5 linked regions of the Xenopus tropicalis genome follow. The protein of the gene in region 4 purifies or fractionates together with the protein of the main gene of each other region. This does not show direct contact. Links are inferred from orthologs where the notes say so. Each region holds a gene or a part of one and is shown on either strand. Other genes may lie near its edges.

Evidence for each region. Proteins that work in one complex are often made in the same cells at the same time.
Region 1: the proteins of ss18 (region 4) and bcl7c purify together in Homo sapiens (affinity purification with mass spectrometry; 3 studies listed by BioGRID and IntAct, counting the BioPlex papers as one, with this or other methods). This does not show direct contact. The link is inferred for Xenopus tropicalis from reciprocal best matches to the Homo sapiens genes SS18 and BCL7C.
Region 2: the proteins of ss18 (region 4) and smarcd1 purify together in Homo sapiens (affinity purification with mass spectrometry; 5 studies listed by BioGRID and IntAct, counting the BioPlex papers as one, with this or other methods). This does not show direct contact. The link is inferred for Xenopus tropicalis from reciprocal best matches to the Homo sapiens genes SS18 and SMARCD1.
Region 3: the proteins of ss18 (region 4) and smarcb1 purify together in Homo sapiens (affinity purification with mass spectrometry; 9 studies listed by BioGRID and IntAct, counting the BioPlex papers as one, with this or other methods). This does not show direct contact. The link is inferred for Xenopus tropicalis from reciprocal best matches to the Homo sapiens genes SS18 and SMARCB1.
Region 5: the proteins of ss18 (region 4) and bicra purify together in Homo sapiens (affinity purification with mass spectrometry; 3 studies listed by BioGRID and IntAct, counting the BioPlex papers as one, with this or other methods). This does not show direct contact. The link is inferred for Xenopus tropicalis from reciprocal best matches to the Homo sapiens genes SS18 and BICRA.

What each region holds. Positions count from the first base shown.
Region 1 is NC_030685.2:5,704,938-5,709,826, reverse strand, and holds the end of bcl7c (B-cell CLL/lymphoma 7 protein family member C), read left to right. Parts: intron 1-1,153; coding exon 1,154-1,247; intron 1,248-1,533; coding exon 1,534-1,695; intron 1,696-1,781; coding exon 1,782-1,867; intron 1,868-2,013; coding exon 2,014-2,121; 3' UTR 2,122-3,703; downstream 3,704-4,889. Other genes in the region: pydc1 (pyrin domain-containing protein 1), read right to left, coding at 4,740-4,767. UniProt on the Homo sapiens protein: May play an anti-apoptotic role.
Region 2 is NC_030678.2:148,807,698-148,812,657, forward strand, and holds part of smarcd1 (SWI/SNF-related matrix-associated actin-dependent regulator of chromatin subfamily D member 1), read left to right. Parts: intron 1-2,711; coding exon 2,712-2,828; intron 2,829-3,558; coding exon 3,559-3,660; intron 3,661-3,772; coding exon 3,773-3,934; intron 3,935-4,949; coding exon 4,950-4,960. UniProt on the Homo sapiens protein: Involved in transcriptional activation and repression of select genes by chromatin remodeling (alteration of DNA-nucleosome topology).
Region 3 is NC_030677.2:153,150,687-153,154,851, reverse strand, and holds part of smarcb1 (SWI/SNF-related matrix-associated actin-dependent regulator of chromatin subfamily B member 1), read left to right. Parts: intron 1-1,854; coding exon 1,855-1,986; intron 1,987-4,165.
Region 4 is NC_030682.2:110,346,572-110,352,255, reverse strand, and holds the start of ss18 (protein SSXT), read left to right. Parts: upstream 1-2,405; coding exon 2,406-2,474; intron 2,475-5,473; coding exon 5,474-5,550; intron 5,551-5,684. UniProt on the Homo sapiens protein: Appears to function synergistically with RBM14 as a transcriptional coactivator. Isoform 1 and isoform 2 function in nuclear receptor coactivation. Isoform 1 and isoform 2 function in general transcriptional coactivation.
Region 5 is NC_030684.2:79,853,384-79,858,343, forward strand, and holds part of bicra (glioma tumor suppressor candidate region gene 1 protein), read right to left. Parts: intron 4,624-4,960; 5' UTR 4,619-4,623; coding exon 4,578-4,618; intron 3,697-4,577; coding exon 3,654-3,696; intron 2,501-3,653; coding exon 2,435-2,500; intron 1,781-2,434; coding exon 1-1,780. UniProt on the Homo sapiens protein: Component of SWI/SNF chromatin remodeling subcomplex GBAF that carries out key enzymatic activities, changing chromatin structure by altering DNA-histone contacts within a nucleosome in an ATP-dependent manner.

The DNA.
Region 1 (4,889 bases), on a different chromosome or scaffold from region 4:
ATAAACCCCCAGGACTTCCCGGTTCCTTCTATACACCTCTAGAATATCTATAAACCTTAAGAACATATCAGCCTCTGGTATAAACTCCCAAGACTTCTCAGTTCCTTCTATGCACCTCCAGAACACCTCAATCCATTCTATATACCTCTAGAACATATATGTCTCTTCTCTATACCTCCAGAACATCTTGGCCCCTTCTATATGCCTTAAGAACATATAAGTCCCTGCTATAAAGCGCCATAACTTTTCAGTTCATTCTTTTTACCCCACAACATCTTAGTCCCTTTTATAAACCCCCAGAACATCTTAATTCCTTCTATACACCTCCAGAACATCTCAGTCCCTACTATACTCCCCCAGAACATCTCAATTCCTTCTATACTCCCCTAGAACATCTCAATTCTTTCTATACACCTCCAGAACGTCTCAGTCCCTACTATACTCCCCTAGAACATCTCAATTCCTTCTATACACCTCCAGAACATCTCAGTCCCTGCTATACTCCCCCACAACATCTCAATTCCTTCTATACACCCCCAGAACATCTCAGTCCCTACTATACAACCCCAGAACATCATAATTCCTTCTATACACCTCCAGAACATCTCAGTCCCTACTATACACCCCCAGAACATCTCAATTGCTTCTATACACCTCCAGAACATCCCAGTCCCTACTATACTCCCCCAGAACATCTCAGTCCCTACTATACTCCCCCAGAACATCTCAGTCCCTACTATACACCCCCAGAACATCTCAATTCCTTCTATACACCTCCAGAACATCTCAGTCCCTACTATACTCCCCCAGAACATCTCAGTCCCTACTATACTGCCCCAGAACATCTCAATTCCTTCTATACACCTCCAGAACATCTCAGTCCCTACTATACTCCCCCAGAACATCTCAGTCCCTACTATACACCCCCAGAACATCTCAATTCCTTCTATACACCTCCAGAACATCTCAGTCCCTACTATACTCCCCCAGAACATCTCAGTCCTTGGTATAAACCTCCCTGCAGAACATCTAATTACTTGCAATAAACTTAGAGACCACCTTATTCCTTGCTGAAAACCTGCAGAGCACATTTCTCCTTACTATAAACCCCCTGCTAATATCTCTGTCCCACCCAAATGATCCCCTTCTGCAGGAGAAGCCTGGGGCCCAGACTCCCACAGACCAACAGAAGCGCAGAGCACAGAGGCGCAGGAAGAGCCAGGCTCTGCTAATGATGGAGATCAATGGTGAGAGAAGTGCTGGGATTGGGCAGCTCAGAATGGGAATGGTCACATGTTACTGGGTAAATGCCACCTGGGCAGGTGCTTTATTGGCCTTTTTCTTCTACCACCATTTACATTTCTGTAAATTATTATTTAGGATACACGTGTGCCAGTAAGTCAGGGAATCATGTGACATCACTAAGTGCCAGTTAGAAGTGATGACATCACTAAGGATTATTTATGAGGAAGTAATTTACAGGGTATTTATTGGTTAATATAAAAGCATAACGGGTGCCTCTGTGCCAATTAGATGACAGCAATAACAGTTCCTTCTCGGATGCCTCTGGGGCGAGGGGCGAGGGAAGCGACAGCCCAAGTCGGACCCCCGAACTGAGCCGCAATGTCAGTCCCTGCCCCTCATCCAAGCCAAAGACTGAGGACTTCCAGCCCCCTGAGTTGGGCCAAGAAGGGGGTAAGAACCATAGAGATGACTTCTGGGTGGGGCTGAGGGGCAGAATAGGGACAGGGTGGGACTGATTGGTTTATTTGTATGTACAGATGGTGCCCCCCTGCTCCCCATCAGAACAGATGAACCCCCAATGTTAACCAAAGAGGAGCCGGTGGCTGAAACCCCTGCAGCCCAGGTGAGTGACATGTTGGGACCTTGGGTGGCACTGAGGGGCTTCCAACTGAATCTACAGCTGATTGGAGGGTTGCCTGGCAGTCGTTATGTGGCACTTAGTGTCCTACTAGGGATTCAATAGAATCTTAAATTCTCCCTTCCCCCCAGGTACCCAGCGCTGCCGCCATGTTCCCGCCTCTGACAGAGGAGGAGGAGTCTCTGGACGCCCCGGCACTAAAGAGATTCTGTACAGACCGAGACATAATGGGCAGATAATCCTCACAGGCTGGCGGCCATCTTACTACTCCTCTCGCATCTTTTCCCGCCTTCTATTCTCTCCACAAAACCAGCTTTTCCCTGTGGAAAGATGAACAAGTGCGTCTGACTGTAACCCGGAAAGTGACCCCGGGACCCCGAGCCCCCATAACAGTGAATTCCATCGCCTGTAGAGAATCAGTCCTGTTGGCCATTTTGTTTCGCTTCATGCCCCAAGCTCCAATGGCTGCCGCTCTCTCTGGGGGTTGCGACTGCTGCACAATTGTATCACTGCAGCCTCTGGTATCCACCATTATATACTCCTCTTGTGGGGAGTGTCATGTTGCCAGGACACGCCCCTCTCTTACACCCTAGCAACCAGGCTGCAGTTTCAAATCCAAAGCGGAGAAATGCAGAAAAATGTATAAAATATACAATTTTCCAATTTATATTTGTCTTTCTGTACGAAGTATAAATGTCAGTATTATATATTATAATATCCATGTCATGCTGATGGAATCTGCAGCGCTATATAAATATATACTTACACCAATACATTTAATTCTACTGACAGACTGCGCTCCTGGGCCCTGGCACTTGTGGCCCCTGATTGGCCGGATTTTGCCCTTATACACAGTGGCGTTTTATAAGGAGAATCTCCCAACCGTTGTCATACATTCTTTTGCACTTCCAAATCCAACCACCAGATGTCGCACCTTAGTGTATGGATAGGAATGAGTAAAAAGCAAAGGAAGCATCGCCATCTAATGGACGAAAGTGGAAATACATCTATTGGGCGATTTCTCATTATTAGCGTTGTTGCTGCATGTTTATTCACTTGTAAATGTAAAGTCCCTTTATCTCTCCAATATATAAAATACCCAGAAACCCTCCCGGGACTCTACTCTATTTTGTCTAGACAGCTGCCCCAGGATTGAGCATGTGTCTCAACCCCTTCTCCTTGTAGAGTGTAAGCTCTTTTGGGCAGGGCTCCCTTCCCCTCTTGTATCGGTTACTGATTGCTTTATATGTTACTCCTTGTAGAGTGTAAGCTCTTTTGGGCAGGGCTCTCTTCCCCTCCTGTATCGGTTATTGATTGCTTTATATGTTACTCCTTGTAGAGTGTAAGCTCTTTTGGGCAGGGCTCCCTTCCCCTCCTGTATCGGTTACTGATTGCTTTATATGTTACTCCTTGTAGAGTGTAAGCTCTTTTGGACAGGGCTCCCTTCCCCTCTTGTATCGGTTACTGATTGCTTTATATGTTACTCTGTATGCCCAATGTATGGAACCCACTTATTGTACAGCGCTGCGGGGTATGTTGGCGCTTTATAAATAAATGTTAATAATAATAATGTTGCAGACTACACCAATTCCCAAGCAGCCATGGCTCATGTATCTAAACTAATTACTAATGAGCTCTGAGCAGCGAATTGGCTTTGCATCTGTGTAGATAATAAGTAATAAAGTGGTCGGGTAACACTGTCCAATCAGGGGTTGCACCATAAAACCGGGCAAATGTTAAATACATTTATTCCCATTCATTCCTAATAATGCAGGGCAGCCCTGGGCACTGCAGGGTTAAACTGGGAACAAATTAAACACATTGGGTTCATTTTCTGTCTTTTTATTTGTTACAAAATAATCGATTTCCAGTGAAAAGTCGAATCTTTATCACGTACAAAACAGTATAAAACAATGGGTGCAACAGGGAGCCGGTCCCACCCACAAGGAACAGGGATGAGCCAAAGGGCATCGTTGTATGGAATTGCCCACAGATCTGGGGAAACTGGGCTGAAGAGCTGACAATCAGATTGCATGTGAGTGGGGATGAGAAACTATCATTGTCGATTACCGATCCCCCCCCCGCAGGCCCAGTGTGGGGGTCTGTGCAATTCAATCTGTAGGGAAAGAAAACAAATGATCAGGGAATGTTCCATCTCATCCCTCCTCTTATCTAGATTCGGTATTTGGCACAACCCCGAAACCTTCATGAAAGTTTCAGCCGAATCCGAATCTGCATCCGATAATAGTGGATTCAGTGCATCCCTAGTTACGACCCCATCATAGACTTCACACTGCTTATTGTCAGTCTAAATATTAGGGGCCCCTGTGCCTGTATGCGGGGGCCACAGTAAGGATTTCTTTAGCGGGATGAACCCTACTGTTTATTAGTAGCAAACTGGGTAACGTTTCGGGGGTATGCCCCTTCCTCAGACATCTGCCGCATAGTGATATGCCAAACAGTGGCATGCTGGGAAAATGTAAAAACAAAAACAAAAACACCCCCTGCTTTTTCCAAAAAGGGCCCCAGAGTATCATTAATGTGACTTGTACTGTCCCTACAGTGACGGGTTGTAGCAGGAAATGTGTGCGCACACTGCCACCTGGTGGTGAAGTTTGATTATTGCAGATAAGGGAATTCCTTACCAGGCCGGCGAGCAAAATGCTGGGCAAGAACCGCCACTGGATTGACCCAGACATAAAATATTCCATATATCGCTTCCCTGTACTCCTGCAGCCAGGTCTATAGCCAAGGACTGACGCTATTAGGGCGATATTTTGCCTTCCCTGGGAGCTGCTGCATCGCTATTTTATTTCCGTGACTGTTATTTCCAGACTCACCTGTAGATGTCGCCCTTTTAGCACTTGGCTATTGCGGTTGATTTTCTGTAATAGAAGGAGAAAACAGGTCTGAGAGAGAGAGAGACAGAGAGACAGAGAGAGAGTGCAAGAGACGCTCAGGGTTCTTTGTGTTTGTGAGTAATAAGGCAACAAGCAGCTAATGGAAC
Region 2 (4,960 bases), on a different chromosome or scaffold from region 4:
ACCCCCTTACAGGTGATCGTGTCCCCCCCCCCCCCCCGAGCTGTTTGTAACTTCTGACAGCAGCCGCTGTGCGGCTTATAAAGAACGTTTGGCTCTGTGCTCATTGTGGCTAGAGAACAACAGAGCCGAACATTCCTTGTAAGCAGCATAACGGCTGCTGTCAAGTTACGAACAGCTCTCAGGGGGAAGCAGGACAGAACGGCTCTTGCAGGGGAAGCAGGGTACGGCACATCGGTGGGCAGGCAAGGTGGGGGAAGCAGGACACAACAGCTCTTGCAGGGCATTAGCATATGCTAATTGGGATTCGGTTCAGCCAGGACCGTTGATTCGGCCGAATTCGAATCCATCCGAAAAAGGCCTAATCCTGGCCGAATACCGAACCGAATCCTGGATTTGGTGCATCCCTAGTAGTTACAGGGCAATGTGTATTAGAGCGGTCCCCTTCTCTCCCTGTCTGACTGACCAGGGCCTTAGCTGTTAGGGCTAAGAGACATGGAGCTACTTAGTAGCAGCTACTTGTCAACGGCCTAAAAATGCCAGAAAATACCCTGCCACGGACAATACTCAGAGCAAAGCTGACCCGGGGACTGGTCTGATTGTCATATTGGAATAAAGAAGGATTTTTCCCCTCTGGTTTCACCTGTAGAAAAATGTGTGTGTTTGGTGTTTTGTTTTTGTTTTTTACCTCATCTGCTATGTTATTACGTTAATACTTTAGACCAGTCAACAGGCTACAGCATATAGTCATATTGGTGCTCCACAGGCGTTAGGAGACTCTTTACTGACTGCTTTATGAATCCCTCAAAACTGGTTAATAAGACCCATACTTATTATTCTTTTCAAAGTAATTATTTCCTTTTAAAGTAATTAATCTGAAAGATAAAAGTTTTATTGACAAGACCTCTAGAAAAAAAAAATGGTATGCTTATTGGATATTTCATCCTGGGGTTTAAGGGGAACTGCCGTTAAAATGAATGATAATGACATCCCTGACATTTTCCATTTTAGCGCTGAATTTTATCAGCAAGATGTGGGCTCAGCTTAATATAAGCTGACGGGAGGGAGAAGAGCCGAAGCTAATTTAATGAAATTCTGTATTGAGATGAAATATTTCCAATAGAAGCTGTCAGATCCTTTCTGTGCCATTTAATGAAGTTCAGGAAGAAGGGCCTATCTGTTTCTGTTATAATAAGATGCAGAAAGGCCATTTAAAGCAGTTGGAGACAGGGAACTGTTAAACTACAGCGGCTGTTTTCTGACCATATTGGTGCTTCTAACAAAACCTGTTCTCTGTTGGGGAACTTGGTTTGAGTGGACAAGCATAAGAAATACAATATTTGCAGTGCTCTTAGTTAATTATATATATTAAATTATAAGTGACTATTTATTTGGTAGATCTGGATGAGGCGCTTGTTTAAATACCAGAAAGATTTACTAGTGGGGAAGTGTCATTGTTAATTGAGCTTAACTTTTTAAGGCGGTATAAAAGGGATAGTGAAACATTGCAGTTTTAACAGCAGCATGGGAATAAGCCTATATCAACCTTATCACCCTGTTTAAAGTGGAACATCTTTCTGTCCCTTTAAATTCATGGGGATGCAGAATAACAAGCTACCTGAGCCAGACCGCAGCTGTGAAGGATCAGAGGGTAAATATGGAGGCAATACATTGCACACAATGATCCACTATTGCTTTAAAATAGACAAAAATAATTGTGCGTTTTTTTTTCTTTTTAAATTGATAGAATGACCCACTGGTATGTTAAAAAGGTATTAAGGTCATTAACACTAGAAAGGCCCTAAAAGCATTTATATACAGTATTCACTTAGTTTGTGCTCAGTAATTGTGTCTCCATTTCTAGAAACCATGATATATGTGTGTTTCATAATACCTGTACTTGTTCTGGTAGGGCTTTTGGGGCAGCTCATAAGTATTTATTATCTAAGTTTCCATTCAATACAATTGACCTGGCAGTGCTTTGTTTAGAGAACAGATAAAAGATGTCTAAACAAAGCAGAGCTCAAAACAAATGTGCTGAAATAAACCAGGTCTATGTATCGGGAGAAATAATGCTATGGTAATTTCATTATTTTAATGTTACTGGCCTTTTAAATAACAGGTTCTTGTGTGGATGAAAACGATTATTCTATGACTTCATACACTTACACGGGATTGTAATAGTAATTCTTAAGTTTGACAATAGCAACCAGTCAGTCTGTTTCAAACTGACAGCCAGTAAATGCTAGTGGCTGATTTGTTGCTGTGTGTTATCTCTCTCTAAAGCTGGCCTACATGGGCAGATCCGCTTGCCTGGCGATGTCGGCAAGCGAGCGGATCTTCACCCGATATCCCCACCTACAGGTGGCGATATCGGGGAGGCATGTAGGTGAATTCGATCGTTCGGCCCTGGGGCAGTTTGGCCCAATGGGGCAGTCGGTTTGGGGACCGCATCAACGAGCCGATTTGGTCCCCGATCCGACTGGATTTTCTAACCTGGCCGATCGATATCTGGCCAATTTCAGGCCAGATATCGGTCGGCCAGGCCCCTCGGTTCTGCCCCTACACGGGCCAATAAGCTGCCGAATCGGTCCAAGGATCCAATATCGGCAGCTATAATCGACCCGTGTATGGGGACCCTTACACTGCAGGTTGCTGTATAGTATATTTACAGAATGAGTACTTTTTAAGGGGTGTTTGTTTTTTTTTTGCAGGCGGCACTTTCTAAATATGATGCTACCAAACAGAAGAGAAAGTTCTCATCTTTTTTTAAGTCACTAGTTATTGAGCTGGATAAAGACCTGTATGGGCCGGATAACCACCTGGTGGAGGTGAGCACTGTGAACTTGCTGAAAGCCAGCAAAATATTTAGCAAACAAGGCTGCTTTACCATTGAATAAGACACAGTATGTTTGATAACCATTGATTGTGATCAATACAAGGAGTGTTGCCATTTTAAGGAGAAGCTTTTGGTAAAAACTCCATCATTGCTATAAAATATTTTCATTTAGTCTAGCTTTTTTTTTGACCATTTTAATTAAAGAAAGGCAAAGGAAGTACAGCCTTTGGGTTATCTAAACTTTAAAGTTCTTGTTTTGGATTGCCCCTGTGCAAACCAGCACATGCTCCACTGACCAGTCACAGGGGTTTTTCTCCCCCACTGCTTTCAGCAATCGAAGAGAAAGGCAGTGCCTGAATCACACATACTGCTGGAAGGTGTACCTCCACTCAGTAAAGTGCATGCATGGCTTGTTTCCTATCTGTTACCTTGGGAACTATGGACAGGTGGATAGGGATTTTTGTTTTTTTGTATGCAGCGGTTTTCGTCCTTGGTGGTGTCATCAGCAGCCAAAATAGCCTTTGATATTGGCCTTATAGAGCTTTTCTTTTACAGATCAAAAATATGAGTGAGCATTGAAATGAATAGGAAATCAGTCAATTTTTCTTTGCATTTTGTGACATTTTAAACATTGTAAACTACCAATATATTGATTTTGACAGTCTTTACATTATTTGTTTGTATAGAGTTACACTAAGTTACTGTAATATTTTCATTCTTAGTGGCACAGAACTCCTACAACACAGGAGACTGATGGTTTTCAGGTGAAGCGCCCTGGGGATATGAACGTGCGCTGCACCGTGTTACTGATGCTTGACTATCAGGTGTGTTCTTTGTGTGTACTATTTGAAGAATATTTCTGTGAATGCAGCGATGAAAGACAAATTCCTATCACAGACTGTGTGTTTGAGTTCTGTGTGTGTTTTTTAACTGTAGCCACCACAATTTAAACTTGATCCCCGACTGGCTCGCCTCCTTGGGATTCACACTCAGACTCGTCCAGTCATCATTCAAGCTCTTTGGCAGTACATTAAGACTCACAAACTTCAAGACCCTCATGAACGGGAGTTTATTATATGTGACAAGTATCTGCAGCAGGTAAGTGCCTATTTCCAATGAAATACCACTAATACAAAAAGTAAACAAAGCCCTGCTTTAAACCGTTTACGCTCGAAAAGCCTAATATCTGATTGTAACTGTAAGTTTGTGCCCTACTTGTTTAAGTGTTTCTGTTGTTCCCATTATGTTCTCCACATACAGCATACATAGTTCCATTGTATTGAAAAAAGACCAGAGTCCATCAAGTTCAACCCTTCCAATTAAACCCAGCACACACAACCTATACTGACCTATCTATACACTCACAGTTGTTAATTATGCAAATACTGCAATACTAGGAAAAGTTCTCCAGTTCTTTAGTGTATGTTTGGCATGTGGTAAAAGCGGATTATTTGATGCAAGTAATTTCTGGTGCAAAATAGACTACAGGCTCTATCTGCTTCAGGTTATTATGTTTGTCTGTATGGGAGCTACCCAAATGCTTAGAGACTCTACAGTGTACAGTAGTATTTTAATGAGCAAACCATAAGCTAAAGTATAGATGGAGAACATAATAAGCTCTCTGGGAATAAAATTGGGATGCTGATAGCCAGTACAGGTTATCAGGTAATAAAGCATGTTTCATATTAATAAGAGTTATCAGTCCTGGTTGGCTTTATGCTGGTCATATTTTTTGGAATATCTTACTAGATGACCCACAGGGTAGGCTGTTGTATACATTATGGTTCACACCTGTATAGCTACATCTTTCTAATCAAATTGTTCTGATTCCCTAAGTGGACACCCATGCAGTTCCAGGGAGGCTGTTTAACTCATATACTTGTTTGGCATTATTGAATTCCCTGTCTCTTTGTATCCTATGTCTCTAAAAAAAAATACAGTAACAAAGTTCATATGGCAAATATTGTATATATCACAGTATGTGTTGACCCTGTTTGTACTATTGTATTATAAAAATCTATAGTGCTGCATGTGCAGTAGCAGAATATAAACAATTTTCCATACACCTTTTCATCAGCAACAAAATGTTTTTTTTTTTCCTTCCATCCTCCAGATATTTGAGTC
Region 3 (4,165 bases), on a different chromosome or scaffold from region 4:
AAGGTACAAAATGTTCATATACAGAAGGTTCTATTGATTTTTATGACTTGGAAAATTATTACCATCCAGAATTAGTATCACAATAGGCTTTCTTTACATAGATAAAATATGCAATATGATTTACATTTCCTTAACTGTCCTGTCTTCAAGAATATCTTTAGAAGAAGTTGCTTTTTATTATGATTCTTTTATTAGTTTTCAAATAATAAGTAGTGTTTGTTTGCAAAAGGTATGAAAGGGAATTTTAAAAATGCATGGCTTTCTTATGCATTCAGTACCAACACTTTTGCCACCTTTTGTAGCTGCTTTAAGTCTTTTGGGATTAAGTACTAGCTTTATTCACTTATTAGTGATTTGGGCCATTCTTGCAGGCAGATTTGCTTTAGGTTATTTAGGTAAATCAGATGACTCTTTGGCACTTAAACAGATCCTTGTGTGCCTCTACCTTTATAGTTAAGGTGGCCATACATGGTGAGATCCTCACCAAACAAGCAAGCAAATCTTCTCCCTATACCGGGGTAATTCGGGGTACTCAAATTAGAACGGCGGGTATATGCGCTTTTGGTTCAGGGACCACATCAACAAACCAATGCGGTCCATGATCCGATGGAAAAATCAAACCTGTCCGATCGAGATCTGCCCAATTTCAGGCCAGATGTGGGTAGGGCAGGTCTATTGTTCCTGCCCATACACGGGGCGATTCTAGGTGGACTGATAATGGTCCTTTAGACCGATTTAGCAGCTACAGTGGAAGAATCGGAAGAATCTGCTGTGTTTAAAGGAACAGTAACACCAAAAAATGAAAGTATTTTAAAGTAATTGAAATATAACATACTGTTGCCCTGCACTGGTAAAACTCGTGTGTTTGCTTCAGGAACACTACTTTAATTTATATAAATAGGCTGCTGTGTAGCCACGGGGGCAGCAATTCAAGCTGAAAAAAGAAGAAAAGGCACAGGTTACATAGCAGATAACAGATAAGACACCATTGTATTCTACAGGGTTTATTTGTTAGCTGTGCCTTTTCTTCTTTTGAATGGCTGCCCCCATGGCTACACACCAGGGTTTATATCAACTCTAGTAATGTTTCTGAAGCAAACACACAATTTTTACCAGTGCAGGGCAGCAGTACATTATAGTTTAATTTCTTTAAAATATATACATTTTTTGGTGTTACTGTTCCTTTAAGACAGGACTGCTGCTATTTCAAGAAAAGGGATGGAGACCATTTAATGACACTGGTCTATGCAAGTGTACAATAAGTGAGTAAAGATTAGTGATTTTTTCTTTAATTTAAATTCCTATAGCATATTCCCCCTTTTTACCAAACATTACCTATTTTTTTCAAGACGCATAAAAACTTGTGTCCATTTAATTTCATTATTGCAAATAAAAAAAAAAATTGCATGTTGTCTTTCTGTATCTGTTTCCTTTGTTCCCTAGCGCTAAGTTGCATAGCTAGAAGGCTTCTCTTGTTATTCATTTGGATCAGTTTAACATTTTCTGAGTATGTAAACCTTTATCTGACGTGGCTCTTTTATCAGAGTCACAATTAATGTTCTGATATCCTGTACTTCACACACAAACAAATGTTTTTCCTCCTCATCAGCCACTCCAGCTGTGTCTTCTGCTTAGTGCTGGTTATGAGATAGTCATGAAAAAAAGGGTCTGCTTTTAACTGACTTTAAAATGAAATTTGTTTTGCTTGCCAACTGTATAATTCTAGGGCAAATGTTTAGTACTTATAGGATTTCCCAATGTGGCTATGAAACTTTGTGCCTTTCTATATGGTTTCTATGCTTTTAAAACTCCCATTAATAGTCATGTCCTTCTCACATTATTTTCTTGTTTCAGTGAAAACCCACTGCCGACAGTAGAGATTGCTATTCGAAATACAGGCGATGCTGACCAGTGGTGCCCCCTCCTGGAGACCCTCACTGATGCCGAAATGGAGAAGAAGATCCGGGACCAGGACCGGAACACCAGGTGCCACCGCCGTTTCATACGCTTTTCCTTCCGGGCTTCCCGCCGGGGTAGAATATAGACAACAAGGTGGAACTTCCTCGGAGCATCTGCGAGGAAAACTTTCCAGCTTATGCGCACCAGCCTATGACGTGATGTGTCTTTATCTGTGTCTGTGCTGTCGTTGCTTCAGCCGATGGAGCTGCACTTTTAATCGTTATCGCACTTTGCAAGTGATGTGTTGGTATTTAATCTGACTTTAGCTGGTGGGATTGGACATTTCTCCCAGTGCTCGCCTTTAGCTTAGTAGCACCATCTGTTGCCAATTTTGCCAGTTTTTGTCTTTTTAGGAAATTCTCTCTTTTTATTCTTTTAGCCCTAATTGGCCTTAGTGCCCAATGTACTTATATAGCTCTCCAAATTTCTGCTCCCTTGTCTCACATTGAGATAAACTTGACATTCTCCAGTATTCTTTTCTGCCAGTGGAACATGCAAAACACTTCATTTAAGATCCCAACAGCCGTAGGGTATATCCCTATTTAAAACAAGTGGCCACAGCAGAACCATGTATGTTAATTAGCAGCTTGAATTCCATAGGTAGCTTTAGTGTTCTTTATATTGTCCAGCAATATCTAAAATCTGGTGCCAAAACAATTGTTGTTGTCTTGTTAAACTAGATAGAATTTTGCTTTATATGGTAAGCTTAATAAGTATACCTTTACCTGTAGAGAATAGTTATGCTGATGCATGTTTCAGGCCAAATATTTCCCTATTTTATGCAGAGTTGGTGGCTTTATGAAATACATATTTGCAGTATTATTGTAAGTTTGTGACATTTCTTCTCCACTGCATATGACAGTGTAGCTGCAGTATTATTGTTTCCTTGGAGGGTAAGGAACACTGTACAGGTTGGAAGAATATTCCACGTTGGGGTGATTATTTAAAAAGTTATTTGAACCCACCAGAACTGGCAATGAAAACTTCTGTCTATGTATTTTGTTGGCTTTATTAATTGATAAGAGAGCCAATCCCAAAGAATAGTTCTACACAGTTCTATGTATTAAATGTCATCCGCACTTTATTTTGTAATTTGTTTATGGCCTTTGCTTTTAAATAACTTTTGGACTGCCCAAGTCCTGTAACACCATTCAGAGTAATGCGGGACATACTCTGGGTAGGCTGAATTCTGCACTTTTTGGTACACAGTCTCTTTTAAAGGGTGAAGTTATGTGTTTAGTGGGCTTGACGCTAACAATTAATAATGTTTGTCATGTCTGTTCCTGACCTTTGTTGTCTTGTGAATAATTAGCCTATTTTTAGATACAGATTTTAATGAGGTGTTGTCACCAGTTAGTATTTTCTTTGCTGACATTAGCAAAATAGATATTAATAACGCAATTTACATGGACTAGATTTTCAACAGTATCCCAGTATTGTCTTTCATTATTGTCATGTTTATTCAGACAAGGTTTCTTTAAATGTCATAGTGAAGTTAGTCTGTTTTTAAACAATGGCTTTCCTTAACAGTTTAGGCTTTTTGTGCTTAGGCATTTGAATCATTGGATACCAGTGATAGGAATGATCATTTCAATATGTAGTGCCAAAATTCTATAAGATGATACCTACATTGTGAAACTATACCACAAATACTAAAAGTGTTGCAGCTTATTCTAAGTTTGTTTTTTTTCCAGACCCTTATATTTATCTTGAGCTGTGCTCATGTGGTTATGTGACATATAGTACCAATCATGGCTGATTTTAAGTAGGAGTGTGTAACTCTCTATTTAAGGTTAGCATTGAGTCTGCAGTAGCTCGCATTTACACTAACAGGCCATAAATCCTTAATTGGTGCTTTTTGCAAAGAAGGGTACTATAATTTGTTCCACTTTTATATACAAAACTTATATACGAAATGTGTGTTAAAGGGTGTCACAAGTTTCTTTACCATTATAAATAGATGGCATTGTAGAAATGCACGACACCCTTTAATCACTGGAGGGGCTGCTCACTTCCAAATTGTAACCGTAACACCAAAAAAGTAAATATCTTAAGTGTAGATTTATTGAATAACTTTGTTTGTCCACCATCTGCCTATAAAATATTTCTCAACTATAATCCTTGTAATTTATGTGGAAGGTATTTAGCCTCTAGGTATGTAGGAGACCATAAATGATCTTTAGGACCAGTGTTTAGTACTTCTTAA
Region 4 (5,684 bases):
GTGGTTATAGAAATAAAAAAGCTTAACAGTATGAAATAAAAAATCATTCTGACATTTGGGTTTAGAGAAAAAAGTTCCTGTTATAAATAATGATGCCTCAAATAACTTGTGCATTGCTATCTCTGAACCCTCTTGAAATTCCATCTGTCTGTCTATGCAGTAGGCATGAGTCACACTCAAGTGGAAGACCAATGAAAAAGATCAGTATATATGGTGCTTAGGGCAAGAATAAGATAGCTCTAAATTATACTTTACATGTGTGTTCTCTGTTCTGGTAGGTTTTCAATATCTTTAATAAGGCCACCTTTCCATCCTACACAGAAGCACAATTTAAGTACAGAGTACCATCAGACTCAGTGTCTCAACATCTCTTGACAATATTAAAGATGTTTGTGCCACCCATCCATGTGTCTATCCAATCTGTTCCTGATGGTTCAGGTTAGGTGCCTGACCTAAAGTGAACCTTAAACACAATAGCAAAACAGTTATATAATGGTTCTTGACACAGTGATGATATACAGTCATTATTACAATGTCTGACTTAGGGCCCTTCACCTCTAGTAAATTACACACCCACTGGGTTACTAACGCCAATATATGTCCTCAGTATAGAGTGTTGCTACAGAACCTCATCTTAGATTTCAAGCTCTCAGCATGGATCTGGATGGAGCCTACACACTCCCAGATGTGCAAACACTCCTCTCTGACTCTGCCTGGCACTAGGGACATTCCTACTACGTAAATGCTCCTAGACTGGATCTACATTACATACTGGAGCTACCCTAAACTCTCCCCTCTTCACCAGGGACAACTTAGCTCATCAGATAAGTCCCCTACGCCTCTATCTTTTTAGGAGCGAGTGTTTTTGCTGTCCAGCACTGTGGAATGTGTTGACACTTTATAAATGAGTGCTAATAATACTTTGTCTTAGAGCACTGTGATAGAGGCACTTTGGGGTAACCTAAGTTACAATATTTCTACACTGGCGTTCTTATGAGGTGGCTGTGGCCAATTTTCTGTCCCAGCAGTGATATAATGTAAAATATACAGCACAAACTGACTTCTTACCTTTGTGCATTGTACAAAATTTGTGTTATGTTATTCAGAAAATGATAAAGTATAAAAAAGTTAAAAAGTATATATATATATATATATATATATATATATAACTGAACAGTAGAAAGCACTCACAGCTACAGCATCAATCAGGTCAGTGATTTATTTCAGCATACCATCTACGCGTTTCATCCTGATGACGATCCTGTGGTGATCGAAACGCGTAGATGGTATGCTGAAACTTTCTACTGTTGAGTTTGATGCATTATTTCTGTCAGCACCCAGCCTGTGCCCCATACTGGTGAGTGCCGAATCTTTACAACTCTCTCTCTCTCTACCTCGCATTAACAAAAAAAAAAAAGACGGAAAAGAGACTTTAATACATACTTTATTATAAAACAAACGTTAAACATTGAACGAGAGTATGTAAAGCTGCTGTAACTAACTTGCAGCAAATTCAGGGTTTCTTTGAAAATGCAACTCCCGCCCTCAAAATCGACTTCGCGGTATTGTTTATAGCAGAAAGTCAGCCAATCGCTGATTCCAAGGGGCCAAACACTGCAAGACACGTGTTTATAGCTCATCACGTGTCAATACCTAACTTCTGGGAAGTTCATTCTTCTTCATCATTGAGAAGGGCAAAACCCCTGTATCTCAGTGAGGGTCGCTTCGCTTCAGTTTACACGCCATGTATCATTATAGTTCTGCGAGTTATAATAAGAAAACTATAGCCCACCTTAGTTTCTTTGCAAGCCATACCCGCCAATAGGTAATATGGAATTGACCGATGGGTCGTACCATTATCTCAAACGAGGGGAATGTTATATTAGCTGGTACTTAAAATAGCGATAGCCATTTACTAAGGGTAACATAGACGTTTAACATAACCCCTCAACTGTAACGGTACATGGATATCCTCGCTCGATTGTTTTTAACAACGTACGATTTGGAAGAAACTGTCCATTTCCTGCTTTTCTTTTCGCAAAGGATTATGGTATAAACTTTTGGGCGAGACCTTTCTGTATTTACAGGGGTGTATTGGTAGACTGGGAAGTTATAGCGTTTATTTTATGTCTTCGTTGATTATTCTGTTGTTGTTATTATTAAGAAGTTACACAAGTCTGAGCTTCCCTTAAGGGCCTCTTAGATATATGTTGCCTGTATGGAGTAAATGCTTGCCTGTTTGTTTCCGCACCCCCCCCCCCTAGGATGTTGTTGAGTCGCTTGCTGGAATCTCGCGGTGTGTGAGAGCGGCAGTGGGAAGTCCGTTCCAGATTTCGCCAGTCTTTCCCTTTAGAGACGCTTCGTGCCTACACTTCGCTCCCTTTGTTTTCTTTAGCTCGTGTATCATGTCTGTAGCTTTCGCGGCTCCCAGGCAGCGGGGGAAGGGGGAGATCACTCCTGCGGCCATTCAAAAGGTAACCGCGCCGATATTAAAAAATACGTTCAATGCAACTGCTTAGTCGTGCCCTTCTGCCGGGAGGGAATTCCCCCAACTGCACTGGTGTAGTGCTTTCTAAGGCTGGGGGGCAGTGTACGGGGGTGGGGAGTCCTTACTGTTCTACTTAAATGCTATCGATTAATAAATGGCAAAGTGCCACAAACATATTGTATGTGCCTGGGTTTAACCATAGACAAGGTATCTGGAGCTTTTATCATCAGTTATATTACCAAGGAAGGTCACTGTAGGTGTAAGGACAAAAAAAGGCACATAAACGTGTCAGCAGAGCCAAATTGGTGAGCCATTTTATCTGTACTGTATCTGGGCCACTGGGGATTAACAGCCACCCTAAAGAGGTTCATTAAAGATCATTAAAATCTGTTCTAAGCAACTTTTCAATGTACGTTTGTTACAGTTTTTCAGTGCATTATTCTTCGATGCAAATACTATCGAACACAATATCTCCAATGTCTCCGTACTGTTTGTTCCGACTACTGAAACAAATTAGAAGATGCAGCTAATTAACAGACTTAGAAAAAAAAAAAAGTGCAAGACATTGTTGAAATTGAAATCTAGCTTCTGCAACATTGTATGAGAAATCAGAGCCAGCAGTAAAGATGGCCATGCACGTAGTGAAATGCTTTTCAGTACATTTGGGGGCTTATGGTCCCGACAGATATTTATGTACTGTGGATATTGGTCATTTTGTGTCAGACAGGTTTGGAAATGTATCTGCAAATACAGCATATTACATTACATTAACATTTATTTATAAAGCGCCAACATATTCCGCAGCGCTGTACAATAAGTGGGTTACATACATGGACATACAGAGTAACATATAAAGCAATCAATAACCGATACAAGAGGTGAAGAGGGCCCTGCCCAAAAGAGCTTACAATCTACAAGGAGAAAGGGTTGAGACACAAGCATATCAGCAGGTGCGGGATGTACGTGCTGATGAGGAGGAAAAGTAAAATGGAGTTATGTCCTGAACAGAATAATAGGCTGCCCTAATGTGTTTGGCCCCTTGTATCAGGGGGATACTGTGTTGATTCAACCATGTATGGCTGCTGTAAAAGTGGGAAGAACAGCAAAGGACAGGCTGTTATTGCATTCAGTTGTAATTATTTTTAAGAAATCAGTTTAAAATTATCAATATTTATAATCTGGCTAAAATTCTATTTTAAGTAGGCAAAAGGTTACTTTTGTTTTTTGGCTCCCTTGTTCATAGCTGTTGGTTTTGAACCAGAGTTTTTGTTTGTGACTGGTACTTTGTTTGCATTGACTCCTACAAAATTTCACTCTCATATTGGAATAACACTATTGCACAGGAACCCCTTTATACAGTGTTTGTGTCTGAGTGAGCAGCCATGATGGCTTTTAGCTGTAGGCCCAGGCCATTAAAGGCCACTACACTTCACAGTTCTCCAGGTATATCTGTAAGTACTGTTTCATGTAGTAGATATTCTATGAAGTCGTTGTCACAGAGAAATATGTAAAATAAATATATTCTGATTCTTGTGCTTGGCATTTCATATGATACTGTTAATTTTTAGTTACATTTGTGTTTCTAACTGTACAGGGTAAATATATATATATATATATATATATATATATATATATATATATACATATTTTTCAAGATTATCAAAGCTAAATGGCTATGAATATTTTGGATAGCTTCAAAAATTCTACAGTGCTGTCTCCCCCCTCAGTGCAGCACAATGTACCTTTCTGCCGCATGATTCCTATGGTTGTCCTGTATGTTCCTGCTGAGAGCTTGACATGGCTATACAAGGTTCTGAGAGGCTAGAGACCTTGCTTTTTCATTTATTTTTGTAAAATATAGTGTGCATTGTTGGTGCTATAAAATTAAGCAACGATATGCAGTTAGGTCAGTACTCCAGCATGTAAGAGATTAGCTTTGTCCCTTGCCCATACACATAAGGGGAAACATGCTTTAACTAAGGAAATCATAAGTGGGTTACATTCTTGTGTTTTTGACCACCATAACCTAAGTCTTTCATTGCACAAGAACATGGCAGTGTCACTTTCATTGGTATCACTAATCAAAGGCTGCCAATAGTTCTTATGCACAGGGTTTCTTTATTGGTTCTAAAGCACATTATTTTTAAAGGAGAAGGAAAGGCTAATAAAGAGTTAATCTCAAGCTGCAGGCATACATTCAGTTCTCTAAATAGTGCCCTTAAGTCTCCCCATATTTCACCTGTTAGATGATCAGAAGCCAAACAGGAAGAAAAAACACTGAGCTGTGTAAAGAAAGTTCCCATTATGCCTCACTCCTGCACAGACACCCAGACCAAGTGAACATGCTCAGTTAGTAAGAGTATGAGTGAGCTTCCTGCTGATTGGCTCAGATCCACATTCTTAAGGGAGGAGTGAGTTCTTAGCATACTTGAAGGAGGGGGGAGCAGGAGAGAGGAGACAGCAGAGAGCTGTGTGTCTCTGGCATATGAATTACAGACACAAGAAATCTTTTGACAGAGAAGTCAGTGCAGCATTTCTTTGAGTGCTTATGGCTGTATTTACATAGACCTTTCTGATAAAGCTTACTTAGTTTTTACCTTTCTTTCTCCTTTTAAGTAGATAAATTATGACTCTTTGGCCTATTGCACATTGGGTGTATACTAAGCTAACCCTTTTTTGGCAGTGTATTTTCTGGCGATTAGTATCTGTGAAAAAGTAGCTGCTACTAGAAGCTCCATGTGTCTTCACCCTAAGGGAATTTGCCAGTCACCACTAGTGACATGAATGGAAGGTGAACTAATTGGCATCCAAAAGGTGAACAAAGTGCATCTGGATGTTGGAAGTGTTGAAATGATGCCAAAGCACTATTTAACATTCTCATTTTGACACTAACCTTAATCTTGTATATTAATTTTGTAGTACAGAATGCTTTTTAACTGATCAGTCAGTTATTTTTCAAATTTTTTTTTTTTTTTTAATTTTCAGATGCTGGATGAAAATAACCATCTAATACAATGCATAATGGATTATCAGAACAAAGGAAAAACCTCAGAATGTTCCCAGTATGTATAATATAATTCTCTCTTTCACAGTGTGGCACTAAATTGTTTATACCTATATAGAGGTCTCTGTACTTTGACAGTAGGTTGTTTTTGAAATTTTGTATATGGTTACTAATACTTATAACAATATCATG
Region 5 (4,960 bases), on a different chromosome or scaffold from region 4:
CCTGCTGTGCAGTTTGGACGGTCAAAATAGAGGGCTGGTCTGCATTGGGAAGGATGCTGGCACCCTGGACAACTTGCTGAGCTTGTTGTTGCTGCACAATGCCTGGGCTCTGGCTGTTGCCAGTAGGTGCCTGCTGGATACTAACTGCTTGCCCAAGATTCTCTGACGGATTGAACATTGCAACCTGGTTGGGTAAAGTTACCCCTTGGATTACTGTCTGCCCTGCTTGATTCAAAGATGTAGCCACTGACGCCTGGCTTTGAGTGCTCAAGCTTCCAGCCAAAGACACTGGCATTTGAAATAAGGTGGGTTGGCCAACCTGTCCAGCTTGCAGCTGAATTGGCCCTGACAAGATGTGAGCTGTGCCATGTGCATTTTGGGATGCGAGGACCTGTCCCAAGTTCAACTGGCTAGCAATATTCTGGTTAGTAAGAATTTGGGCAGGCAGTGCCTGGTTGAGTAGCTGGCCTCCTGGGCCCTGGCTGGCAATGATGTGAGCTTGTCCACCAGGATGGGAGGCAGCAAGGATCTGGCCTCCCATATTGGCCTGGAGGGCAGAAAGTGGTTGGACGGCTGATGCCCCTGCAAGCTGGCCAGGCAGAAGAAACTGGTTTTGCCCCTGCAACATAGCTTGGGCATGCTGGGCAGGTATGACAATACTGCTGCCTTGGTTTAGAAGCTGAACACTCATTGGCTTGCCAAGTGCCTGCTGCTGTGAAGGTGGCTGCTTAAACATATTTGTGGGAAGTCCCTGGGGAAAGCCGGACAGCACCACATTTGGTCCTGGCTTACCTGTCATAAAAGCCAAATTCTGCTGAGTCTTTGGCTGTTGCAGTGCAGCCTCTCCCTGAATGGTAAGTGTAGCATTGTTTGGATTAAAAGGTTTGGGTGATATCTGGAACAGTTTCTGTGGCAGGACTCCAGCAGGTTTTGGCTGAATAGGAGTTGGAGTTCGCTGAATAATAACCGGGCTGTTTAAGCTAGATGTAACTGTGAGGGACTGAGTACACTGTGCTGCAGACACACTACCAAACATAGAATTCCCATTAAGCGTTGTGGCCACTGCTGGGATTTTGTTCTGCAAGACTAATCCTGTGTTCTGTGGTGATACTCCACTTGATGTAAGTGTGACTTGCTGTTGCTCTGTATTTGTCCCTGCCAAGTAGCTGCCCACAGGTAAGTTAGCAACTTGAGTTGGTTGCACCTGCTTGGCAATAAGCTGTTGTGCAGGTTGGTTAATGGCCATGACCTGCTGTCCAACCACTTGTATCTGCCCAATGCCAAGCGCCCCACCAGGGCTGCCATTTGGTAGTCCTGGGAGGTTTGAGATTGGCTGAATAGTAACATTGCCAAGGCCGACTTGCTGAAGAAAAGGTTGGACACTGATAGCTTTGTTGACCACATCTGCCCCTACAGACTGTTGTACCAGGGCTTGATGGGTCAACACTGCTGGCTGTTGCAGCCCGATAAGGTCAGCTCCTCCAGAAAATATCTGGGGGGTTCCATCCGGGGCGGCCTGCACCACCGGCTGTAGGGTGGGAAGCTGGAAGGAGCCCAAGTCCAATTCTGCCTCAGCTTCCAGAGTCTGTTCTGTAATGTTAGCCTCCTGCAGGCTCTGCTGAAGGATGTCACAGGGCTGATCAGCACTGGCAAGGCTAGCACTGCCAGCTGAAGGGGACCCAAGAATGTCATCATCCTCCAAAAAGTCTAAATCTACACTTGCTGTGGGAGGGTTAGATTCTGTTGTTAGATGGTTTCCGGGAGCTTCCTGAACGTGAAGCTGTAACAAAAAAAAAAAACGGATAAAAACCATTTAAGAAAAAAATAGTTTCAGTATATTATTGTCACTTTAAACCTGAGATATATAATGCAGTAAATATGAAATGTACATGATCTATGCTCTATGATCTAAGGGTGACATGGTGGAAGACATCCTGCCAGTGTAGATAAAGGGCAGCTGTAAGAAGGATTCAAAATGCTTTGATAACTCAGCCATTTATTAATTTAATTAAATTGAGGGGGGGGGGGGGGACACTTAATGGGAAAGGCCCAATTTTAGGAATAATTGCTCACAAAACACACTGGAACTAGTTTTGTATTAGAGTTTAAGACCTATCAAGACCTGACAGGACAAAAGAAGACTCTAAAAGGTTTCAATAAGTCTGCACTGACAGGACAGGCAGCCTAAAGTTACACAAGTATCATTCAAAAAATTTGCTTCAACACCAAATATTTTTTTCACTGCTATGTGAACCCCTTGTAACATCCTGAAAATAACTAAATGTATTATATCTTGTAATAATATTTAAATATGTCCGGTGATAAACCCGTGCAAAGCTTAGACAAAAATATAGTGGAGAACCACTGACCAAACAAGTGCCAGTAAATTTCTAGTACTTTTTAATTAAATTAAACATATGAAAAAGTTAATTACCCCAGTGCCCACAAAGAAGGCACTTGCAGCATCTCCTGTGTTATCCAAGAGGTCATCTCCTCCAATCTAGAGAAAAGAACAAATACCATGATTACAAATAACTCTGATATTTTTGCAGAAAAAAAGCAAACTAGTTAGTCAGCTCAGTCTAACTATGGCTCATATTACTATTTACATAATAATATGAAACCAGTAATCCAGAAAGCTCTGAATTATGGGAAGGCAATCTCCCATAGACCTTATTTTAATCAAATAATTCCCATTTTTAAAAATTATTTTCTTTTTCTCTGTACCTTGTAATTGATCCTAGCTAAGATATAATTAACCTTTTTAGGCAGCAAAACAATCCCATTGGGTTTAAATGATTTTTTTAGTGTAGTTAAGGTAGGGAGATTATAAAAATTACAGAAAGATACTTATAGAAAGATCCCTTATTTATTAAAGGGTGAACTTTAGAGACCAGTATTTGATATATATACTTATAAAAATCCCATGAGAATAAATAAAAAGTGGGTAAATTTTTCTGTGGTGAGCTCTAATCTCACATTTTGACTAATCTGCCCCTATTTAATCAGATATCCAAAGGCTACAATGAAAGAAATTGTCTCTTGTTCCAGCCACATCCACCTTTAGGCTGATGGGCCATGGAGCGAGTTAGTCGCCCGTGATAGAACCCTGCAGGCAACTCCAGAAAGCCAAAGGCCTTTCCACTTGCGACTCCTATTGTTGCCAGTGGAAAGGCATTTCTAGAGGTAAGTCACCCGCAGTAGCAGAGATCTATTGCAGATGACTAACTCGCTCTATGGGTCATCAGCCATAAGGGCTAAACTCCACAGGAGATTTCGATTTTGTGGGTCAGATTTTATCTGATCCTCATAGGCTGTAATGTTAAGTCAGTTAAAATGTTTTGTTCATGCTACATCCAACAATGTATGTCAATGAGGAAAAAAAAAGTCCGTCAGACACCATCAGATTTTATCTCATCAGATGAAGATGCAGCATGCAGTATTCCCTTCCAACAAGCATGTCATGTTAGATAGCAATTCTTTCATGTAGTTTACACATCAGATTTTTGTATCAGTTCCATTACATTTTAACCTATGCAACTACATCCAACTTGTAGGATACGTTTTGTCAATCCTACGCCATCATACAAATCTCCCCTGGAGTTTAGCCCTAAGGGTCCACTAGTGTTTGCCTTTTGCTTTCAGTTACTCACCTGATCAGGTCCATGTAAGAAGTCATTCAGAGCCTGGGGGTCACTGAAGTGAAAACAAACAAAAAAAAAAAACAAAACAAATTGCTGATTAAATCATAAATTCAGTTATATTAACTTTTTAGCATCTAAGCTTGTCAGCTTTAGGATCCTCACTTGTAGTACATTATGCATTAGATAGTTCTACTGAACTGTAGGACAAGCAACAACACCTTATTGTATACATACAGAAACAAATTACCTGATTTTTGTCAGCTCTATAACATAAATTTTAAACTGTGGTACGAGTCCTTAAATGTAAGAAAGAACAAAAAAATCCTGATATTTGGTGTGTTTGTTAGATGCAACACCACAACACATTTTCCATTAGAAGGGTGGAGTTCAGGGACCATGGAGCACTGAGGTAGCTATCTCCATTTGGTATGGTTAATTTTTCTGAATTTTGGAAAAATCTATGATTGGTGTGTGCACCAAATAAATGTTTCATGTGCAAGACTGCCTACTATTTGTATTACTTTACTTAGTTTTACCCACAAGTTAAAATCTCAAATCATGTAAGATGTATGAAGGGACTACTCACCATATAGCTTTGCAAAGGGAAAGAAGCACACCAGTTGTGTCGGCAATGCCTTTAAATCATTTATTTGCAGAAATGAGCAAAACAGCACAAGCTTTCGGGGGTGACCCCTTCCTCAGGTGCAATACTTATTGCACCTGAGGAAGGGGTCACCCCCGAAAGCTTGTGCTGTTTTGCTCATTTCTGCAAATAAATGATTTAAAGGCATTGCCGACACAACTGGTGTGCTTCTTTCCCTTTGCAAAGCTACATGGAGAAAAGGCTTGGGAGCGGCCGTGGAAGTTAAGCACCCTCTGAGAACATGTATGTAAGTGGTGTGCTGAAGATTTTTCTTTATGTTGACTACTCACCATATCACATCTAACAAACACCGGCCATCTTCTTCGTCCATGTCAACTGCAAGAAAAGAAAGAGCGGTCACTTCTATTGGTCAAATGAAACAAACATTATTGAATTTTAAATTTTGCCTAAAGTTTGCCCATTTTTTAGGATAAAAAAGTACCAGCCACAGAAGAACTACAGCAAGCAGTAAGCTGAAACATCACTAGGTGTACCTCAAGCTTTTTAAACAGTGAAAAGGGAAACGCTTTACATTGGTAAAGAAAAAGCAGCAAAGAACAGTTTATATTTCACCCAGTCTTCCTTTCTATATACTGCAGAAAATAATTTTGCTGTTTCCTGTAATACGCTACTACAAGACACTGCCAAGACTTATTTGCTCCAACCTTGATAT